Linked DNA regions of Stegostoma tigrinum. The protein of the gene in region 1 interacts with the protein of each later gene in a pairwise test. Links are inferred from orthologs where the notes say so. Each region holds a gene or a part of one and is shown on either strand. Other genes may lie near its edges.

Evidence for each region. The genes of interacting proteins can lie anywhere in the genome.
Region 2: the proteins of progranulin (region 1) and nufip2 interact in binary tests that used the Homo sapiens proteins (3 or more experiments, as listed by UniProt). The link is inferred for Stegostoma tigrinum from reciprocal best matches to the Homo sapiens genes GRN and NUFIP2.

What each region holds. Positions count from the first base shown.
Region 1 is NC_081384.1:30,758,892-30,762,642, forward strand, and holds the start of progranulin, read right to left. Parts: upstream 2,260-3,751; 5' UTR 2,131-2,259; intron 1-2,130. UniProt on the Homo sapiens protein: Secreted protein that acts as a key regulator of lysosomal function and as a growth factor involved in inflammation, wound healing and cell proliferation. Regulates protein trafficking to lysosomes, and also the activity of lysosomal enzymes.
Region 2 is NC_081380.1:31,902,936-31,906,686, forward strand, and holds the start of nufip2 (FMR1-interacting protein NUFIP2), read right to left. Parts: upstream 2,860-3,751; 5' UTR 2,821-2,859; coding exon 2,670-2,820; intron 1-2,669. UniProt on the Homo sapiens protein: Binds RNA.

The sequences.
Region 1 (3,751 bases):
CATCTACCTGACAAACAGCAATACTTCTCTTAAGGCTGCATCAGATCTTATTCCAGCTGTATCTAATTTGTTTTCTAGAAATCGTACAGTACTCAAGTATTTCAATGTTAAAGTATGATATCGCTCATAAAAGTTATGAGACTTTTACTAAGTTTAGATCACATAGGATCCATGGGGTGCTAGTCAATTGGATTCAAAATTGGCTTGAAGGTAGGAAACAGAGGGTGGTGATAGAAAGTTGCTTTTTGGGCTGGAGGCATGTGGTCAGCGGTGTGCCACAAAGATCGGTGCTGGGTCCACTGTTTTTTGTTATTTATATAAATGATTTTGATGTGAATATCAGAGGGAAGTTTGCAGATGACACCACAGTAGACAGTGTAGAAGATGGAGATTAACTTAAATAAACATGAGGTATTACATTTTGATAAAGGCAAAAAAGGGTAGGACTTATACAGATAATGGTACGGCCCTGGGGAGTGATGCTGAACAGAAACCTAGGGGTGCAGGTGCCCGATTCCTTGAAACTGAATTCACAGATAGACAGGGTGGTGAAGGCAGCGTTTGGCAAGCTTGCCTCCATTGTTCAGTAGATTGAATACAGGAGTTGGAACATCATGTTACTGTTGTACAGGACATTGCTGAAGCTACATTTAAAATATTATATTCAATTCTGGTCACCATTCTATAGGAAGGTGTTAAATCTTTTCTGAACCTGCTCAAGTTTATCACCATGTTTCTGGGACTGGAGGGTTTCCGCTGCAGGGAGAGGCTAAACAAGCTGCGGCTCTTTACCCCTTGAGTGTCAGAGGCCAGGGGTGACCTTGGTAATGTTTATAAAGTCATGAAGAGCATAGATACGGTGAATAGCCAAGGTCTTTTTCCCAGGGTGGGTGAGTCCCAAACTAGATGACATAAGTTTGAGACGAGAGGGGAAAGATTTAAATAGGACCCAAGGAGGAACTTCTTCATGCAGAGGGTGGTACATGTATGGAACAAGCAACCAGAAGAAGTGGTGGAAGCGGGCACAATTACAACATTTAATAAGCATCTGTATGAGTACACGAATAGGAAAGGTTTAGAGGAATATGGACAAGTGATGGCAATGGGACTAAATCAGATTGGGATGTCTGATTGGCACACTGGACTGAAGCGTCTGTTTCCATGCTGTATGAACCTATGACTCTATGGCAAGTCTCAAAAGGGAACACAATACTACTGACTGAATTAGCTTGCGCTACGAAAGTTTTAACCAGGAAATAAACCAGCACACAGTAGAACTGTAGGATTTGAAAATCAAAGTGCATTGCAACAAAGCTGGTTTCAAGTGAAACCAATTTCAAAAAAGTACAGGCCATTCAGGGAAGTAACCAGCTTTGATTATTTCACAATTTCTTTGCAGTTAAATGCTTACAAATAAAGTGAAGTTGGTATTAAAGAATATTGCTCGAACAATGGGCACGCATAACAATCCAGAAACTTGTATACAAGAGGCAACACAAAGCCAAATATGTGCGTAAGGTATGAACAAATGACAGCTTTTAATGCATTAAGCGCTTCTGCAAATTATAGCATGGCACACCCTTATCACAATCTGCTGTACTTGGGTCACTTCTCTTGCATTTTACTTCCTTTCTGTTCCCAAATTCATGCCAACTGAGTACGTGTCTGTGATTGCGAGGGAGCTCTAAGTTTTGAAACTGAAACAACTTCTTTTAAAAGAAATTCACAAGCTCTTACCAAATACACTTAGCATGGGGTGGAATGTTTACATGGCTTTTCTGCCTGTGTGATCAGTAAGGAATTTCTAACTTTACTGACAAGCATTTTAATGCTACTTACATATGATTGTACATGTTCTTATTTTTAAAACAAAAAAAAGCAACTGATGTTAGTCCCAAGGAGTAATTTACAGAATTCACTGCCCAGCAAAGACTAACAGGTTAACCCCTCAGAAATCCACAATATTAACAACACACAGTTTCAACACAATTCAGCAAGGGAATCGCAACTAACTGGTGAACAGGAGAGTTACTATTCTGGTTTGCTTGAAGTAAGTACACAATCTCATCTACACTCAAATGATTCAGCTGCTGGTTAGTTCAATTTGAAAAGATGTAAAACTGAAAATACCTGACACTCCAGCTTTCACTCTGGGAAACTGATCTTAGACACAACGGTGAAGAACTGGACTGCTGGTCTGACAGCTCCCTCTTGTTCTAGCACGACATATCATGTGACTGTGAGGAAATGAGTACTGTACTGCAAGACAGAACAATAGGGGCAGTTTGAACTTTGTCAAGTTTCTGCTGAGTTTCAGTTGCTCCACCGGCCAAAAATTCAACCTGTTTGTCAATCTGAATTTTAATCAAACAAAATAAACATGCAGCAACAGTTTGAGAGGGATATGTATTTGAATTGAATGTTTTCACATGCAAAAAAAAGCAATTGCAGATAGCTCAACCAACATCTTGAAATAAAACTGAATATAACTTCCAACAAGAAGGATGTGTGAGAGGCCAGTTTAAGTCTTTTTTGAAACTTTTAGATTAATTAGAAGTTATCAGTCCCCATGATTTCAAATAAAAACAAAAAAGAACTGCAGATGCTGTAAAACAGGAACAAAAACAGAAGTTGGCTGGTAAAGCTCAAAGGGTCTGGCAGCATCTATGAAGAAAAAAACTCAAGAGTTAACATTTCGAGTCTGGTAACCCTTCCTCAAAGCTCTGAAGAAGGGACACCTGACTCAAAATATTAACTCTGATTTTTTTTTCACAGATGCTGCCAGACTTGAGAGCTTTTCCAGCAACTTCTGTTTTTTGCTGCCCAGGATTTCGAACATGTTCATGAACCAATCTACACAATTAGGTGATGCATCAAGGCAATCCACAGAGACAAAACATGTTGCCGCTTCAGCAAATAATTCCAAATAAACTCGAGTTTGTTACGATTACAGTACTGCTGCATATTTTACCTCTGAATTGCACGTGCATTTGCACACTCCCAGTTCCACTTTTGAATCTTCCAGTATAAAAAATTTAATAACTAGGGCATGGTTCCCTACAAAGCACAATCTACCTTCGAATGGATAAGATCTATTAACTGTACAAATATTTACAGAAACCATCATTCATAAGAACATAAGAACGAGGAGCAGGAGTAGGCCATCTGGCCCCTCGAGACTGCCCTGCCATTTAATAAGATCATGGCTGGTTTTTGAGACTCAGCTTCACTTACCTGCCCACTCACTGTAACTTTTCATTCCTTTACTGTTCAGAAATTTATCTAGCCTTGCCTTAAAAACATACAGCGAGGTAACTTGAACCACTTCACTTGGCAGGGAATTCCACAGATTCACAACCCTTTAGGTGAAGAAGTTCCTCCTGACCTCAGTCCTACATCTGCTTCCCTTTATTTTGAGGCGATGCCCCCCAGTCCTAATTTTACCTGCTAGTGAAAACAACCGCCCTGCCTCCACCTTGTCTATTCCCTTCGTAATCTTATACATTTCCCCTCATTCTTCTGAATTCCGATGAGTATATGCTCAGTCTACTCAGTCTCTCCTCATAATCCAACCCTCTCAACTCTGGAATCAATCAAGTGAATCTCCTCTGCACCCTCTCCAATGCTAGTATATCTCTTCTCAAGTAAGGAGACCAAAACTGCACACAGTACTCCAGGTGTGGCCTCACCAGGACCCTATACATCTGCACCATAGCGCCTCTGTTTTTAAACTCCATCCCTCGAGCAATGG
Region 2 (3,751 bases), on another chromosome or scaffold:
GCTTAGCCAAAAAGATATTGACGCTTAAATCCAGAGGACCAAAAGAAAGGCAGAGATACTTACAAAGTTCTAGAGCTGAGCCTTGGCAAGCAAGGATGAAGTTATTACAATCAGAAGACTCAGGAAGCCAGATGTTTGAGTGGTAGGGTTGCAGAGGCAGATTTGAAAGCATGGTTGCAAATAATAGATTGATCAGGAGCCAAACAGCAGGTTAGCAGGGGAAGGATCTACAGGACTTGGTACATGGGCAAAGTTTTGGATTATTTTCAAATTCATAAAGGGTAGAGCATGGAAGACCAACCAGGATTACCCAAGGTAGCATAGGGGTCAAAAAACATGGATAAGGGTTTCAGCAACATTAAGCTGAGATAAAGTGCCCTTGTCTCAGCCACGTTCAAAAACATTCAAGACAACAACATAAAGAAACCTACACGTTTACAATAGTAGCATGTCCTGATTCACTTGTGGTTGATTTGATTCCAGTACATCAAGAAAATTGTTAACAAAATATATTTTGTGGTCTTTAATTAATTTCAGAACCATCTCAATGAACTCCTACATAAAGCAGAGTCCTGAAACCGAACTTCTAAATTGACAGTCATTGCTCATATGCAGGATACTATGCAGCATTGATATGGAACAATTTTTGAGCTTAAGCCATAAAACCATTTGGAAAGGAATAGCAAAGTTTTGAACAAATATATTTACAGCTGAACAACACCTAATTTAAAGGAACAGAAAGGGGATTATTTGCCTATTTACACAAATTTAAAAATTATGATTTTGAAATTCACACTGATGGAACAAACTCAATATCATTGTCAAAGCTAAGAGATTACTTTCATAAATTGCAGCAACAGCAAGCCCCACATAGATGGAAGACCTCTTTTCACACAGGCTAATTATAATAATGGCAAATACCTAACTAGATATAAACAGTTCAACAATTAATAGTAAGTGCTTAAATAAAAGTTTCTTCACGATACCACCAATCCCTTGGATCTCCTTCGCAAGTGTTTGAAATTAAGACAATGTTCTGTGCAAATTATTATAGTGGACATGCTGGATATCTTGAAGGCTAATTTAAAGTTTAATTATTTAATTCCATATTTTCCAGCATTCAAACATTTATGATAAACTACAGATTTGGAATACTTCTTACATCACTGGATACTCAATTTCACATATTTTTGAAAGTACACCCATACACACAACATACTGCAAGCATATTTAAACCCAGCTTGTAAGAAGTACTAGTTCAACCTTACACTTAATGACAAACATATGACTGATCTAGACATTTAATTCAATGCATCTAAAGACACAAAAACGTACTAAAGATTTCTGAAATCAAAGCTATTCGATCCTTAACGTAAATCAAACAAGTTACATCAGGTTATTTTGTCAATGCTACGCTTTCTGCCTGTCTTTTGCGTAAGGGCTCTTTTACCTGGAGTAGTCCCTGGCAAGGCCCAAAGATGCTGTTGATATACTGTAACATTTGTCCTAAAATTAAGTATTTGCGATAATTTAAGGTTTTCAAAGTGTTCGATAATCCCGCTTGTAACTGGACCCCTCATCGACTTTCCCACGTTGCAAAGTCTATACTGCACCTGCCAAATAATGGACCCTTCCAAAAAAAATCACGAATACATATTTTCCTTCAATAGCGGGCGTGGGGTGGGGGAAGACAGCAAATTGTGTAAGCAATGTTTCGCTTTATGAAACCAACCCTGATTGAGAAAGGAGCGGGGCGGGGGGGGTGGTTAAGGAAAGAGATGAAGCATCGAGAAGAATCTGGAAGACATTAACCGTCGAGGACGAGATTACCCTTGAAGTCAAGAAGAAAAACGTGGGGTGGGGAAAAGGGAAAGAAAAGTCTAACGCTGGAGCGGATAAATAGACGAGGCGAGGAAGGGGCCGCTAGCAACACTCCCTGTCTTTCCCGGTTAATACTCATGTGTGCGCGCGCACGCAGGAGAGTGGGATAACTATTTATAAAGATCTTTTTTCTTTTCTTTAAAAAGCTCAGCAACAATGCAACCTCCTCCCGTTTGCGTGACGTACATCAGGGTGGTGGGGGGCTGTTGTTTAAAACGTTGACCATCCAACTCCAAGGGGAGGCAGAGAGACACACGGAGTGAGTGTGTGTGGGTCTCCTCCAACATGGCGGACAGGAAATGGCAGCTGAAGAACATTCCAGTGAGCCGGCATCATCATCATCGCCGCCACCAACACTACCACCATCACCACCATCCACAGGCCGGGGCCTGCGGCCTGCCCGCCCCGACTCACGCCGGCAGAAATAGAGCAAAAGACCGCCAACCGTCTCCCCTCTCCCCCAGCGGCACCGCGCCTCATTCCCTCAGAAAAGAGGCTGTGAGTGAAGGAGGAGGTGGAAGGAAAGACGAGACAGACGGCGACACGGTTACCAAGAAGAGGCGGAGGAGGTGGTGGTGGTGGTGGGAATATTAGATCCGGCACGGCCTTCAGGGGCCTAAAGAGTGTAACTGAAGCCACCAAGGTCACCACGATCCGCGGCTGCAAACCTACACCCCCTCCCACCCCCGCAGCCCCCACCACCATCATCAACCGACATTTTTTTTACGTAACCTCTCCCCGTCAATAACATTTACACCGGTTGATAAGATCTTCGGTTGCGCTCTCACCTGCTTTCTTCTTCTTTTTCTTCGTTTTCTGACCGTCTGAGACATCGCTTACTTTGGTGATTAGGTCGCCGGCGGCCTGCTGCTGTTGGGCGTCTCCATTGGTGAGAGGAGCGGGAGCTGAGGGCTGCTCGCGGCCGCACTTTTCGTCCATTGAACGAGGGGGTGGGTGTGGGGGCGGGGGGGGGGAAGAGAGAGGGAGAGGGAGAGACAGACAGGCAGACGGGGAGGTGGCACTGCGCCTGCGTCCTGCGTTTACCCGACTGGCGGCAGCTGATTCGACACACCCGGGCCTGATCTGCTGCTCCTCCTCCAACTGTTTCTTTCCCCTACTCCTTTCGCTGGTCTCTGCCCCTCACCGCACGCGTCGCGCTCTACTCCGAACGGCACATTCGACACGGACCTGCTTCCTCCACCACCCCCCCACACCTCGCGTGGCGAACACAAGACCCAATTGTCTGATGAGTTGGCGCGAGGGGCTGACGTGACGCGAGGGGCTGAACGGCCTCTTCCTTTTCCACCCCCGTCAGTTGAAGGGTCACTGAACTGGAAACGTTAGCTCGGCCTCCCTCGGCACAGGTCGGTGCTTGACTTTGTTGAGAAATGGATAGAATAGCTCTTTACCGTCGGCGGACAATTTCTAGGGTTTTGTATTTTTTTTGCGCCTCGGCCGACAATTGCTTTTCTCTTTTGTCTTTCCGCGCTTTTTCTCCTTTTTAAAAAAGAAAATAAAACCGCAGACGCTGGAAATCAGTGACAAACTCTCGGCTTCCGAAGCAGGACCACTGCACCCGAAACGTTAACTCTTGATTTCTGTCCACAGGTGCTGCTGTGACCGCAGAGTTTTTCCAACAATTTCTGTTTTTGCCGGCCGTGCTTCCATCATCCAGCCTCCCAAACCGCCTACATCTTCCCCAGCTCGTAAAATCTTCCTTTCAGGGTAACCATAAAAGACGGATTGGTAGATGCAGGCCACTCTGCCCATCCAATCTGCAGGCTTCTCAACCAGATCTTTGATGATCAGATATTCCTCAACTCCAGCAGGGGTCGTTGGAGTGTCCCTATCTCTGGATTAGGTGTCCCGG